Linked DNA regions of Drosophila melanogaster. The protein of the gene in region 1 interacts with the protein of each later gene in a pairwise test. Each region holds a gene or a part of one and is shown on either strand. Other genes may lie near its edges.

The links.
Region 2: the proteins of Tat (region 1) and CG10570 interact in a two-hybrid assay, tested with the Drosophila melanogaster proteins (one large-scale study listed by BioGRID).

The regions. Positions count from the first base shown.
Region 1 is NC_004354.4:14,257,758-14,265,272, forward strand, and holds the start of Tat (tyrosine aminotransferase), read left to right. Parts: upstream 1-3,465; 5' UTR 3,466-3,602; coding exon of another isoform or gene 3,603-3,650; 5' UTR 3,651-3,827; coding exon 3,828-4,176; intron 4,177-5,692; coding exon 5,693-6,207; intron 6,208-6,273; coding exon 6,274-6,567; intron 6,568-6,633; coding exon 6,634-6,981; 3' UTR 6,982-7,515. Other genes in the region: mud (mushroom body defect), read left to right, coding at 1-473.
Region 2 is NT_033779.5:18,805,463-18,812,977, forward strand, and holds CG10570 (uncharacterized protein), read right to left. Parts: upstream 5,525-7,515; 5' UTR 5,410-5,524; coding exon of another isoform or gene 5,357-5,409; intron 5,223-5,356; coding exon of another isoform or gene 5,123-5,222; 5' UTR 5,021-5,122; coding exon 4,799-5,020; 3' UTR 3,232-4,798; downstream 1-3,231. Other genes in the region: CG42502 (uncharacterized protein), read right to left, coding at 5,123-5,222, 5,357-5,409.

The DNA.
Region 1 (7,515 bases):
AGCAGCTGTGCAAGGAGACGGAATCCACGGCACCCTTTCAGCTGCAGCCGCTGGACTACAAGCCGCTTGATGAGGAGCAAGTTGAGCCGAAATTCACACAACTGGTGGCCGCCTCTTGCAGTAATATCACTACGACTAGCTGTGCCACCAACATGACCGGCGCCTCATCTTGTACAGTCTATTCGATCGGCAGTGTGCACATGCAGCCGCTGCCGCAGATCAATATCACCTATGTCCAGCAACCATCGGACTTGCAACAGCGCAGGCCAACGCGCCACCGCTCGTTAATGGCTCAGTGCAGGCGGTTCCTACGCCATCTGAGTCTTGGCCAGCGATTGGTCATGGGCTTTGCATTGCTGGTCATGGTGGGGCTGTCCTTGCATCTGGCGGACAAGCTAGTGCTGGTGATCACTGGCATCTTGTCGGGAATGGGGCTCGTCTTTCTCACCTATTCGTGCCCCGGACGCAATTAGAAGCGGCAACGAAAGCAATGGGAAACGCACAAATCTTGCTGATGATCTATGATGATGATATATGTATGTTCGTTATGTGTAATCATGTTCACTTATTCCTTTACAGAACTCGCCGCCCAAGCGACGCCTCAGCAACATGTTCAAGCGCAAGTAGGCGTGGTCGCAGTCGCAGTATTATACATATATTCCCCCATTCGTGTACATCAATCGGAACTTGAATTCTTGACTTATTATTTATGTAACCATTTTTTTTTTTTTTGTACATCAGGACTTAGAGAGTTTAGTTTAAGTATGCATATGTTGCAGTGGTACAATATCGTGGGCGAACATAATAATGCAAATAAAATTGTCTGTACATATTCTAGAAATGCTTACTTTGTTTTTTTTCTTTCTATCGTATACTCTTACGAGAAATCACTGAGCGAAAAAAAGTGTAATTTGATCGCTTACTCGATCAGCCAGCGAAACGTTCGATTTATCTTGGTTTTCTGTTCTATATTGTTAGGCAGAAAAACCTGAAAGGTTTTGGCTTGAATTTCATATATATAATATAAAAAGAGATATCCACCAAGATGCTTAAGAAATTACACAATGATCGGAATTGTCACAGCCAGCAACTTGGTTATCCACATTGGAAGAGGGGGCGTGACCAGCTGTGTGACTGCGAGTGGCCAGAAAAAAGAAGTTCAAGAAAACCTGCTCCAAACGAGGTGAGCAGGAGGCTCGCTCCACCGACTGACCAGCTGACTTATCCACCGACTAACCGACTAAACGACCGACTAGCCTGCGAGAAATCGGTGACTGTTTATGATGCAATGGCAAGGTTAGAGCGAAAAACATATTTTTGTTTATCGCGTTTAGTAAAAGGCCACTTATTGTAAATGCTGAGTAAACAACAAATATCTAGAATAGTGAAAATACGAAGAATATTTGCATAATAGCCAGGAATTTGAAATAACAATTAGTTGGCTTCAAAAGATTTGGTTGTAAGTTTCAAAAAGATGTAAAATCGTTGTAAAGTTGAATAGATTGAATACAGTGAATATTTAGAGGTTTTTATTATTTTTAATTGTATTTATTCCAACATTTATTTCATTATAAGCAAGATATATATGTGACTCCACGAGGGTGAAAATAAATTGTATTGACGTGGTAACTACATTTAAGTTAAGATTCTAATCCGATTAGAGCAATATATATGCTATATTTATATGTTTTCAGCTCAAAAAAAAATGTAAGCAGCCAGAGTGACACTTGAAATATAAAATAGAAGAATGCCTTAATTCGAAACACCTTGTGTTTGCGACACTAATCCAATTTCAAGTCAAAATAAATCGTTATATACGACACCACATTGTTCTGTTTCGAAGAATCTCCTTTTGTCAGGGTCTGTTTTTTGTGAGTTCTTGCGTCAGATGGCTTAAGATCTATAGATATAGATGTACAGATATTTGCAACGCAGTTTGGAATTTTGCAACCTATTCCTGTCCGGGGATCAGAGTCAAAATGACCGGAATCTCCGCTCCGTGATTCTGAGAAATTGCGTTGTCATCGTCAACAGGTGTGCTTGGCCAGTTTATCTAGCCGATCTAGTTGATCGGGTTCAGATACAGATATATCCTATAGTCGCTTATGCATATGCAATTATTCAAATCGATGGGATTACATCTATGGACTTGGTATCGCAGTGCATTCCACGTTTGTCCAGATGTGCATTTAGCGGACACTTTCGAATTAATTGTTAAATGCGCCGTGAGTTTTTTTTTTATTTTCCCACTATTTTTTTTTTTTTAAATTTATTGTTCTACGATCTTGAACAGATTTTTTGTCCGAGTTACTTTAGTTTTGAACTCTGTACTTTCACCTTTCAAAAGATTTAATCGTTAAGTCTGAGTTGTTATTAAATTTAACAAGGATTTTTAAAATCCTCACAAAGTAAATCAACTTAAATAGACTACAAAAAGAGCACAAACTCATATTTAAATTATATCAACTTGGCATGTAAATATTTCTATAAACGTAGCAATTATCTTGTGCGGAAAAATAGATTTGTTTGCCATCAACCAGATTTGCAATTTGTTTACAAGTAACTTATATTTTTAAATTTAAATATCATTTAGCTGAGTAACGGGTATGTGATAGTCGTTCTCTTTTGTTTTAAAGTAGAAATATTGCAGAAACAAATGAAAATAACTTATTTATTTATTATCACAAAATGCATGAAATTATTGAATCTATAATATGTGTGCAGGATTGTTGTGGTAACTTTCTGGTATTCTATTGATAATTTTTGTGGGAAGTTGATACAATAATAGGTAGCAAATAGCAACATTTTTCCGAAAGCAATACTCGAGTTTAGCCAGTTTATTAGTGATTCGGATCGATGACCGCTGAGATCGGAGAACAGGAAAATCTTACAGATACATTGTGTCTCTAGCCAACTATATTATGGGTTGATTGGCACGTGGTTTAGTGGGTGGAAAGGTGGTGGTCGGTTGGATCGGTGGATCGACCGACCACACGATATGCATTAATGGTAATGGTTTTGGTTGGTTGGTTGATTGGATGCTCGGTTGGTGTTTCAAATTGGCCCAAGATTATATATTATATTATAGACAACTTTGGCGCATTTAAATGAATATCGATGCGATGCGGCGGCGGCGGCGCCTGTTGTTGTTTATATCAAATCAAATCAAAACGAATCGTATCGAACTAAAATCTGGTTCCGAGTATGAATATGATTTCGAACCGGCGGGTATTCAAATCAGTCGACGCCCCCTATGTTGTTGTTATTTCAGTCTTTCGATCGGCCCTCTCGGCTCGAACCGAAGCCAAAGTCAGGCGCGTGATAACCGGCGATGTTAGTGTATGGGCTATATATACCCAGATATGCGTATATATGTATATGGATGTCTATATGGAGAGCCTATATAGCAATCGACTAAACGAAGTCGGCCGGAGGCGATAAAAGCCCCAAGATATCGCCGAAGTAGATCAGTTTAGCACAGAATTCGCAAACGACTTGAAAGTACTAGCCCATATCAACCATATACCGTGTATCCAAAGGGAATCCAACGAAAACAAGAATCGTCTGTCCAACACAGTGATTGACCAAAGATCACAGCTCTAATGCTCGTCTGGAACGATAAACAGGATACAAATTTTTCATTCATTTGAGCAGAGTGCTCCATTTGCCAGAAATCGGGACCGGAGACATCGTCGTAATCAAAAATATTAGCAATATTTGTTTGTGCTTTTTTTTTGTTTTTGTTTATTTTGATTCGATTTGGTTTGGTTTGGTTTGGCTATTCGATTTTCTTTCGTTGAATCGGGAAAAGGGCCGGCCTGGTGATAATGCCCAGCAGTTTTGCCAACGAGAGTCAGTTCCGATACCAGAGCAGCCGCAATCGTGCCAGCTGCACAAGCCGGAGTCCCAGCGAGCCGGAATCCCCGGCGCCGGTGACGCCCAATTGCGATGTAGTCGATCAGGCGCTGGCCGAGCTGCAGCTCCAATCGCAGGACATACGCAAGCAACAGGACCTGGTGGACACCACAGCCACGAGCAGCAGCAGCCGAAAGCGTTCCGGATGGGAGATAAAGGGCTCCAAGCTATCCCTTAACACGCACAATCGCATTCGGAACATTGTCGAGTCGCTAAAGATCAAACCGAATCCGGAGAAGCCCATGATACCGCTGTCCATTGGTGAGCACCATAAATATATAAATTAACTAATATATATCTAAAGAGTAAAAGTTCTAAAAACTGTACGTATATAATCAGTTTTCTTTTAAAATATGGTACTTAGTATATTTCTTGTATAGATTCATTTTAGATATTTAAAGTTGACATCTTAAACTTTCAAGTTCTTAAAACTTATAGGGCTTTTTATATAAACCTTATAAATTATTATTAGTTTGTCTGCAAATTACTGATTCTTGAATTTCCTTTGACGCAGAACTTACATATGTGTTTGAAAAATCTATCTTAAAAGCTTTTCCTCTTCAGAATTCTCAGAAGTATGCTATGCATTTAGCATGTATGTATAATGTATATTTACATTATCAGGATTTCGCCTTCTATTTACTATATATGCATTAATCTGAAAAGTACGCCTTTAATAGTGGCTAAAAGCAATGATTTGAAATATCCAAAATTTGCAAATTATAGAAAAATATTTGAGCAGGTAGTGCTAACTATCCAGTTTCGTGGGAAACCTGCTCCTCATTTCACCATATCCCCATAACACCTCTGACGTTTTTGCTACAAGTTTTTGGGCCAAATTTGAATATTTCTGATGTGCGATCTCTTTTGCTCTTGCCGTTTTATAAATATATATATATATATATTTATATCTTAGTTTTTTTTTTATTTTTGGCAGCTGAGTTGTCCCAAACTTGATAAAACTAGCTTTATGAACCCAATGAATTCGGTTTCATTGTGAACTAAAGCGATCCATTGGTCATACACACCCACAAAATCGGGCCAATCAGAGATCGGTGCTTCGGCTATAATGCTTATAAGTCGTTATATAAGTTGGGACATTGGACTTCCCTGAAATGTTAGAGCTCAATGGGAATTCGGGCTTACTGGCTTTCTGGCTTAGGAAATTTACAGAGAAGCTAATTTTGCCGATTGTCGCGAGTTTCTAAATTTGTGCTAAAATATGCCAGATACCAGATATATAAAATCTGTAAAGCTGTTGTTGTTTCGATTGTTGTTGTTCTTGTTCTTGTATATAATTTAATTGTTTTTTTTTTGTTTTGTTTTTAGTAATATCGTATTATTTTTGTAGCGAGGCACGCGCACTGTATTTGTGTTTTGTGGGGCATTTGCATAAAATGTAGTTCCACCTGTTTGACAAAGTCGAGAATCCATTCGAATCGAATCGAATCGAATGGAATGGAATCGAACTCGGGATCTGAGCCAGATTATACTGCTGCTGCTTGCTTAGCCATCGGAATCGGGAATCGAAGTTAGCCGGAAACGAACGAGTTAGCCATTGACCCAATGCAATCAGAGATTCGGATGCGAAGTCGCCTGATTTTTATTTTTTTAACACCATTTTGCATTCCGTTTCCAAAAATAAATGCACTTTATTCCATAAATTAGGCAATTCACTGATGGAATATTTTCTGTATTATTTTATTAGCTTAAAGGTTATTTTATATTATAGATTATATATTTTAAATGCATTTTGAAACTTGCTTTTCTCAACCAGGTGATCCCACAACCTTTGGCAATCTAAAAGCCGCCGATGAGACAATGAAGGCGGTGCTGCATTCCCTGGAGAGCGGCAAGTACAATGGGTATGCCAGCACCCAGGGTCACGAGATAGCCCGCAAAGCGGTGGCCAAATACAGTGCCCACCAGCGTCCCGACGGAGAGATCGATGCCAACGAGGTGGTGCTGTGCAGCGGCTGCTCCTCCGCCTTGGAGTACTGCATCCTGGCGCTGGCGGATCGTGGTCAGAATGTTCTGGTGCCGCGACCGGGTTTCTGTTTGTACTATACGCTGGCCCAGGGCTTGGATATCGAGGTGCGCTACTACGATCTTCTGCCCGATCAGCAGTGGCGCGCCGATCTCGTTCAGCTAGAGAGCCTGATCGATGAGAACACCGCCGCCCTTTTGATCAACAATCCGAGCAATCCCTGTGGCAGCGTCTTCGATGAGAAGCATCTGCGCGAGTTGATAGCCATCTGCGAACGCCACTATCTGCCCATCATTGCCGATGAGGTGAGTGACCCTTAAATCGAGCACACATGAAATAATTGAATTGAATTGCCTTTGCTTTCGTTGCAGATCTATGAGCACTTTGTGTTCCCCGGCTCCAAGCACTTGGCCGTGAGCAGCCTGACCACGGAGGTTCCAGTTCTCTCCTGTGGCGGGTTGACCAAACGCTTCCTGGTTCCCGGTTGGCGAATGGGTTGGATCATAGTGCACGATCGCAAGAATCGTTTGCGCGATGCCATTGTCGGTCTAAAGAACATGTGTGGTCGCATTCTGGGCTCCAATACCATCATTCAGGGTGCCCTGCCCGATATCCTGACCAAGACACCGCAGTCTTATTTTGACGGCGTGATTGATGTGCTCCACGTAAGTTTATCATTTGTAATTATCAGCTTAATGGATAATTATTATATGATTATTTTTATCCCACAGTCGAATGCCATGCTGGCCTACAAGATGCTGAAACAGGTGCGTGGCCTCGATCCCGTAATGCCCAATGGAGCCATGTACATGATGATAGGCGTGAGCATCGAACGCTTCCCGGAATTCAAGGACGACACCCACTTTGTCCAGGAGATGGTGAATGAGCAGAGTGTCTTCTGTCTGCCGGGCAGCTGCTTTGAGTACCCGGGATACGTGCGGATCGTACTTACTGTGCCCGGGGCAATGATCGAGGAGGCGTGCTCCAGGATTGCCGAGTTCTGCGATCGCCACTACAAAAAGGAGTCGCGCAATTTCATTGAGCACGGACTGCTCGACTGCGATGATGTGGCCTTTTGAGCTGGGAGCAAAACATTTATTAGATATTCTAGACTACAATTTTTATCAAGTGTACATAAGTGTATGTATGTATATATACTATATATATATATATATCAATCATTTTAACTATCCAATATAAGGAGTATTGTCTCAAAAAATTGCTGGAAAAGTAAAGCGCGTCACACACAGATAGATAGAGTTTAGAAAGAGCGAGTAAACTGCGGCTAAGTAAATGGTCATTATGGAGGACTTCTGAATATAAATATATATAATATAAATTTATATATATATATATAGGCCTATATTTGAGCTATCTGGCGCTGTAGGCTGGCTGGGGTTCTGTGCAAAAAATGTTAAACTTGGTGAAAGTAGTGCTCCTTTGGAACAGGATATGATATGATGATGCCTTCTTGCTAGTTACAATTATTTCTATTAGTTTCAAATAAATTTTCTGGCAGCCTTTATCTAACGTGTGATTTCAATTTAAAAATGCTGAACATTTTCGCATAAATTGGATTTAGATGTGTGTAATGAATGATATTTGTATGTATA
Region 2 (7,515 bases), on another chromosome or scaffold:
GAGGTTCCCAACTCGTAGACTTGACAGCAAAACGCCTCCCGTCCGCCTTCAGTTAGTTGAGCACCGAACAAAAGTGAAAGTAGGCAACACAAGGGGGACTTGCATCCCAACAGGAGTGCACAACGTATCCTATATCCCAGATCGCATATTCCGCATATCCCACATAACGAGCACTCCGCATCCCATTCCCTTGCTTTTGTTGGTTCGCCATTGTGGACTTAAATGCACAATTTGCGCATGAAAAGCGCGGATTTGACGAGAGGTAGGAAGCCATAGATCACTGAAAGAAATATATTACAGATGAATTAAGGAAAAGTTATAAAAAATATAAAACACGATCTTCGTTAGACACAATAATTCCAATATATCGCTTGAAGAGAATATTGGTATTTTGTTTGCTCTCAAAATAACTTACCTTTGAAATTCGCAGACTGATTTGTTTGCTGTGTGCCGCATATACCGATACACACACATACACACTGGCACATTCAATGTACTTCCGGTGGCGGAACAGGAACAGGAGCAACTGCGAGCCGCGACTGGATTCGGTTTTGAAGTTGCTTTCAAGGCCCTTTGACAGACGCAGCGACGGATAATACACACTTAATTGCTCAAAATGATGCGATTGTGGAGCGATGCATATGCCACACACGAGTCCGCTACCACCACACAGATACGCACGCACACTGGCAAAGGGAAGTACATCACCCATCTGCACCACCCGACCAGCGAGCGGCGAATGGAAAGCTCAGCCACAACTTTTTGGCGCGCTCTCTTTGGACAGGCTGTAAAAACAGGAGGAAACTGGTGAAAAAGGGGTGTTAAGGGGGTGGTGTGAGGGGGCCAACAAAGAAGAGGGAGTTACCCTGCTTATGTATTTAAGCCACAACAAAGACACTCGAGAGCATATCATTGGCGTTTTGTGACGACCTCTCCGCACTTGAGCTCACATGAGCCGCAGGCCATAATTGCATTTAAAGGATTTGCACTCTGCCCTCGCAAACCCCACTCCCCGAACCTTTCCCACATGCGGCTGTGCGTACGAAAACATGCTAAATATGGTTATTGAAGGGCAGCACTCTGGGAAAGAAGTTGGGCCAGTGAGGCCTGGGAAATCAGCTTCCAAGTCTTAGCAAGAAGAAAAACTCTTGATATTTGGGACATTCAAAAACCATATTTTGAAGCACCAGATCTAAAATGTAAAATCTTTAAAAAAAGATCGAACTATCGATCCACAAAATAATTTTAAAATATTTCTAAAATTTATAAAAATAAATCTGCCGTATTTTTGTATATACCCTAATTCCCCAGGCTGAAACTCACATCCTTAGAATGTCCCACTCTCAAATTATCCCGAGACGACCCACAAAAAAGCAACCGCAGTTCTGCGTTTTACTTGAGAACCACTCCACGTTCGTTCAATTCTGCCCAGTTCGAAGCACTCCAGTGTGGAGTGGAGCCCCACCCCCCACGAAATTGCCTGCCCTCTACGCCCCTGGGGTTTCAGAATGCTACTCGCCTTGCCATTGTTTCAATTTTCATGTCGATTTGGCTGTTTTCGTTTTGATGACCTCGCCGCAGCAGCCGCAGAACTGTTCGGAATCTATAAATACTGGCAATCATTACGGGGTCTCATATTTTTATTGCATATTTTATAGGATCTCAATCTGAATGCGAGTGCGATGCAGCACTGAAACAGGGGCAGCAACTTCAGAATCTTTGTTTCTGCAATCCAATTGTCATTCATGACAGCTGTCGATCAGGAATGGCGGCTGAAAAATGTATCCGCAACAATGGAAAACGAGGGGGCAAACGGCAAACGAGGTGGTTGCTTTTGATTTGGATTCTTTAAATGTTCCCTCTGCGATTGAATTGAGTTCATGCTTCTCTGTTTTTCTGTGTAATTGCCACCTTTTGTCACGGCGAATGTTTGGCATATTTTGTAAATTATATTCTACGCAAGATCAATATTTGCATAAGTTTATAAGAGGTTATGTGATATGATATATCTGAAATTTACATGATGCATGCAAATCCAGGGATTGATAGAGATGATTACAATTGACAGAAGAAAATCTAGTTCGATGAGAATATATTAGAAAGGGTTGCGTTTTGAAAGCGGAGAGGAAACTTAAGATACGAAATTAATTGACTAGAGCTGGGCTTATATATTATATACATTTGATGTCAAAGTTTGTAAGTCGAAAATGTGAATATGATAGGGGTATAGAATATCTTAAGTGTTTTAAAGGCAACACATTTAGGGTGCCTTTTTACAATTCACTTATCCACTTTGTATCTGCCCACATCTTCAGCCAGCTGATTCTGATCGAATATCATGCAAATCCTCCTGGATTCTCCCATTCTCGGGGCAATCAATTTCAGATGCGTCACACCTTGCCAGCGATTCGACATCGACATCCAGTGTGTCTGCCATGTGGCGATGACATTGTCATGTGCCAAACAGGAAGGCAAAACACCTTTGCCGAGATGTCAACGCCCGTACATTATCATCGAGTACCTACATTCAAATGTAATTCGCATCTGAATCGACTTTGGGCATTTGTACATTTTCAACTGCTGCTGGCGGAGACATCCGCGACGGGAAATGTGCCGACAATTGTTTTGCAAGCGGGCGCAACTCCGGGGCAAAGTACTGCAAACTCGGCAATCCGGTGGTTATCCTGTTGGCTGCAAAACATCTGTCGGATGTCATCGGAAGTTGTATCTGACGGCACGCCCCAAAACAAATTTGCCTGGCAGTTTGAAACTCACAAATTTCGGAGGCGTTGGCAGCGACTCAGTTGAAGTGTGGGCATGGCCGCCCTCTTCCACTTTTTCAACGCAAGCTGCTCGGGAATATTTCACGGCACTTGGGGCGTGTATGGTGTGCCTCGGCAGAAGTTACGGATATTATTCATAATTTCCCAACGTGCCATTGTGACATATGCCATTAGAGGAAGGAATTAGGGGTCTGTCGTGCTGGGTTGTCTCTAAGCGGAAATCACTTTTCAGTTGATAAAGCCAAAGATTTGATAAGGCCAACACGCGCGGGTTGTTAGAAATTCAAAAGAGAAGAAATTGCGATAAATATTTGTCCAGTATAACATTCGTGAAAAATGTATTCAACATTGTACTGATTTTGTATATAAAGAGTCTGCGTAGAAGATAAAAACCTATATGAAAAATTTATATTACAACGTATTTAGACCATGTACTCCACGAGTACCAATTACTAAAACAAAAATCACAGCACCCACAATTTTTGTGGGTTTTCGTTGATAATGACGTGATAATTGCTTCTGTCTGATAAATCAGAGAGCGTTGTCCCGTTTCGGAAGCCTTGCAACTGACACATTCCACACCAGTGAGCAAACTCGGGCTGAGACACAGTTTATATTCGTAGCAAAGTTCAAAGGACACCTGCGGAGCGGTTTTAATTGCATCGCACAACACCAAAAGTGACAAGGAATCTTTTGGGTGCTGAGGACCGCCTGGCGCTAGGAAACAAAGTAATTACAAGGCCCAGTACAGACAGAAGCCCAAGCAGATGGGTTGAGTCGGAGGCAAAGGGAGTGGCAGGACTCGACTAGATGAGTTTCACTTAGAAAAATCATGGTGTGTGAATTTATATTGAATGATATAGAAATGCATATCCATATTTTTACTTATATACTTAAAATTGATAATAGCAGTTCAAAATCGAAATGATTTGAAATAAGTTGTAAATCGTGTTCTTAACTTTTCTCCGTGTAAAGGACATTGACAGCTGGCTCCCGGAAAGGAAAACCCGAAAACGCCACAACATTTATTCTTTGACGCCGGGATGGGACTGGCGGAGAGTGCGAGAATTCTATTAGCACCGTCAAGGAAATCGCTTTTTCTAATAGCCAAGTGCCACGTGTCCTGCGAAGCTTGAGTCCCCTGCTCAGTCGTGTGTCACGACCGAAGGACAACCGCAGCATCCTTCTCACTCCCGCTGCAAAATAAATGCTTCCCAGCCCGGCAAACAATACAATTGAAAAATTATAAAAATTTCGCACTTTCCAGAAATATACAGTCGAACGAATTCTCGTAGCGAAAACCGGACGTCGTCCTCTTGCGGCTGCACTGGGAGATACACTTGTTGTCGGCAAAGGACACGCGTCACAGATGGAAAGAGCGGGGGAAATCGAAAGGAAAAGGGGATGGCCAGACATCATCAATATTGCAGGAATCGCTCGGCAGATTGAGGCTGTCAAATAAGCGTGTCTAATGCGTATTAAGTGCTCTCCGTCCGGATTCATCGAGGGTTGTCCGTATGGCCCAATAGAGAAGTTGGCTTAATCACGCTAATAGCCGCAATTCATGCAAATGCTGCAGACAATAAAATATGCGTTGGGTATCAGTCAAGTCAATTCGAGTCAAACAGCAAGGTCAAATGGCAATGAATATTGTTAGGTGATTGCATTTGGGGTTGGCTCTCAAATGGTAAATGAATGAAATAACATTCTGGGCTTTAAGTTTAAAGGTTGAGTTAGAAATTATGATTCCCGAGATACTTTCTCACCACCATTAAAAATCTCATTTTTTTGGCGCATCTTCTTCTGATTTAATTTTTTAGCCAATTGATTGATTAATGATTTCTTTTCTTTTATCACATAGCAATGAATAAGTCTATAAAATGGCTTACAAAACTAACCTAAAGCGGCCCTGCTGAACCAAATAGAAATAACAACGTTATCAGCCCCCAGCTTCCCCGTTTCTCAAGGATCACCACATTCCTAGAGGAACATTTCAATGGGATCTACTAAAGCATTTAGGAGAAATGCATCCCATTGAATTGCTGGCGATCGGTTTTCACCATGTTGTTGTACTTCCACTTGTCAGCACTCGATGCTTGACTGCTCCAAGATCCCGATCCTGATCCCGAACCCGATCCAGAGCCGCTGCTCGACTTGGAGTGGTTCTGACCCTTCGTGGACTGGTTGTCCTTTGTGGTGCTGCTCAGGCACTTGTCGGTACGTTCGGTGTAGACCATTTTGTCTCTAGATCTAGATAGCTTCCTTCTTTTTGAATAGGTACAATTTTCTGCCGATTACACAAAGCTGCGCTTCCAATGCGTTTGTAGAGAAGTCAAAGTTCACGGTACAGTTTGCAACAGGGTGAGTACTTTAAGTTCCTTGTTGTTGGCCGAGTTTCCAGTACGTGATCCTTTTTTCGATGACAGATGTTTGCCCAATCTATTCAAATTAAATAAGCAAGGATTTGTATTAGTAACAATTCATATAAATTTTTTTTTTTTAACTGGACATTGCAAATGCTTTCACAATTATGTACAATAATTTTAACTGGCTCTGTCTGGTTTTTTACCCACCTTGCTTGCTTCAACAATTTTTGTTTGGAATCCGTGTGGCTAATTTTTGGCATTGACACAAAACTTTTGCAAATTGCACATTGGATGGAAAAGAAAGGAAATTTCACAGCTCACGCTCCGTTCAGCTCGTTACCGATCTGCTCTGCTCTGGACTTTCTACTGACCCTCCAGCGGCTTCCACAACTGGTTTAAATACGCCGAACCAATCCGTTCCGTTCCGATGCGATACGATCTCCGGCGATCCGAGTGCAATGTCTGGCGGAGCAACTGCGTCACCGTTCTACCAGCAAGTAGCGTCAATGTCGCTGTGCCAGCTGCACCATATCCAAGCCGCCAGAAACCGCCCTCGCACCGCCCCCGCACCACTCCCTCCCCCCGTTGACCTCAAACTCGGTCTCCGTCTGAGGCTAACCCGTTCCAGCGGACGACAATGCAAATTAGAGCTCTAGAGCAACTGGTTTAATCCGCGAAAACGAAACGAAACCTTTGCAAGCAACTCCAGCGGCCAGCAACGAATCGACTACAAGATACCATTTAAAACAATAGAGACACATGGTACAAGTATTGTTTAATTATATATTACTATATAGAGATTTTCTGAATATTATTAGGTTTAACAAAATGCTTGAAATCAACTGTTATTTGCTATGTACTATTAATAATCGTGTTAAAGTTTTGCACAAGTAATAGTACTTTTTGTCATTCAAACCTTTTCATTAGGTTTAAGCAATATAATAATTTTTGTGAAACTTCAAACGCTTTTCCAAGCGAAGCCTCTCTTATAAGCGGTATTACCAGGGTATAAAACACCCCCAGTAAAACCTGCTATGTATCACGTAGTATTTTCCTTTGTCTCCTCTCAACAAACATGATTATTAAGACTCGAAAAATGTTTAGAGTTGCCGGCCGGCGGTTTTTTGACACGTCATCCAAAATTCCGCAAATAGGACCTTTGCTATGGTATGTAGTCTCTAAAATTCTGATATTCCGTAGCACGGCGATGCATTCGAGTATCTGCCTATATATGCATCTATAATGATTAACAATATCATCCGATCACTATTGATATTACGAATTATGCATGAACCGATGGCTGATGAAAAGTCTTGGTTGCATTGCATCAGCCAATTTGATGAAGAAAACAACTCGAAAGCCTGTTGCCGGTTAATAGTATTTTAATCTGTTGTTTGTTGATATATAGAGATTCGATCTGAATTATGCTCATATCCAGACAATAGATATTGTATGGAATCTCAAATCTAAAAATGTTTTATTTTTAATCTCTTAGATTGCCTGATAATATAGAAATACCTTGTACAAAAAATCCTAAGGATTCCCCCGTTAGTGAAAATAATTATGCATCATTTGAATTCTTCAGAAACTAGTTATACTTGCAAGTATTATTTTGTAGATTCCGGATAATATTTAAATGTAAATATCCCACAAAAACAGTTTCATAGGTTTAATGACATCCAGGACCCCCCAAGCTTCTACGCTCTTCTCCTAGCGGTAATTCCAAAAAGAAACCCGTTAGAAGAATTCTAAAGCAGCAAATCGGATATTGTACTTTGAACGTCTAATTCGCCGTTTTAAATGTCAAAATCTGCATTTGACTTGAATAATATATAGCCAGATATGTCTGCCAAATATTTTGTTCAGACTGCATTATGCAAATGCGCCAGACACACAGTTCAATAATTAAAAAACGTGCCCAGACACTGGACAAAGAAAATAAAAAAGGTTGTATTTTTTTAAGAGTGCCGGAGCTCAAAAATGCGTTTTCAAAAATCTATATAAAGACAGGAGTGCTGAATACCTTAACACTATACGAGATATCGTCAAGTCAAGAAGAATGCTCAACAGATCCTTGGGAAACCACCTGAAACATTATGGATCCAGAAAATTCCCCTTACTAATTTGTTTACTTATACCTTTGTTTGGTGTTTGGGTTTGTTTATTCTATTAGAGATGTTTACTGTCAAATGGAGGCCCGCGTGGCAAACTTGATTTCCATTGACGTACCACTCGTTGGCGTAAACAAGAAATTTGGCACAAGTCTACTGTCTGCTCCTCCGATTTTGCATCAGAGCCCCCAAAAACTAGTTTATCTCGATCACGCTCCCCACTCGTGATGATATCACTAAGTCCGCAACGCTTTC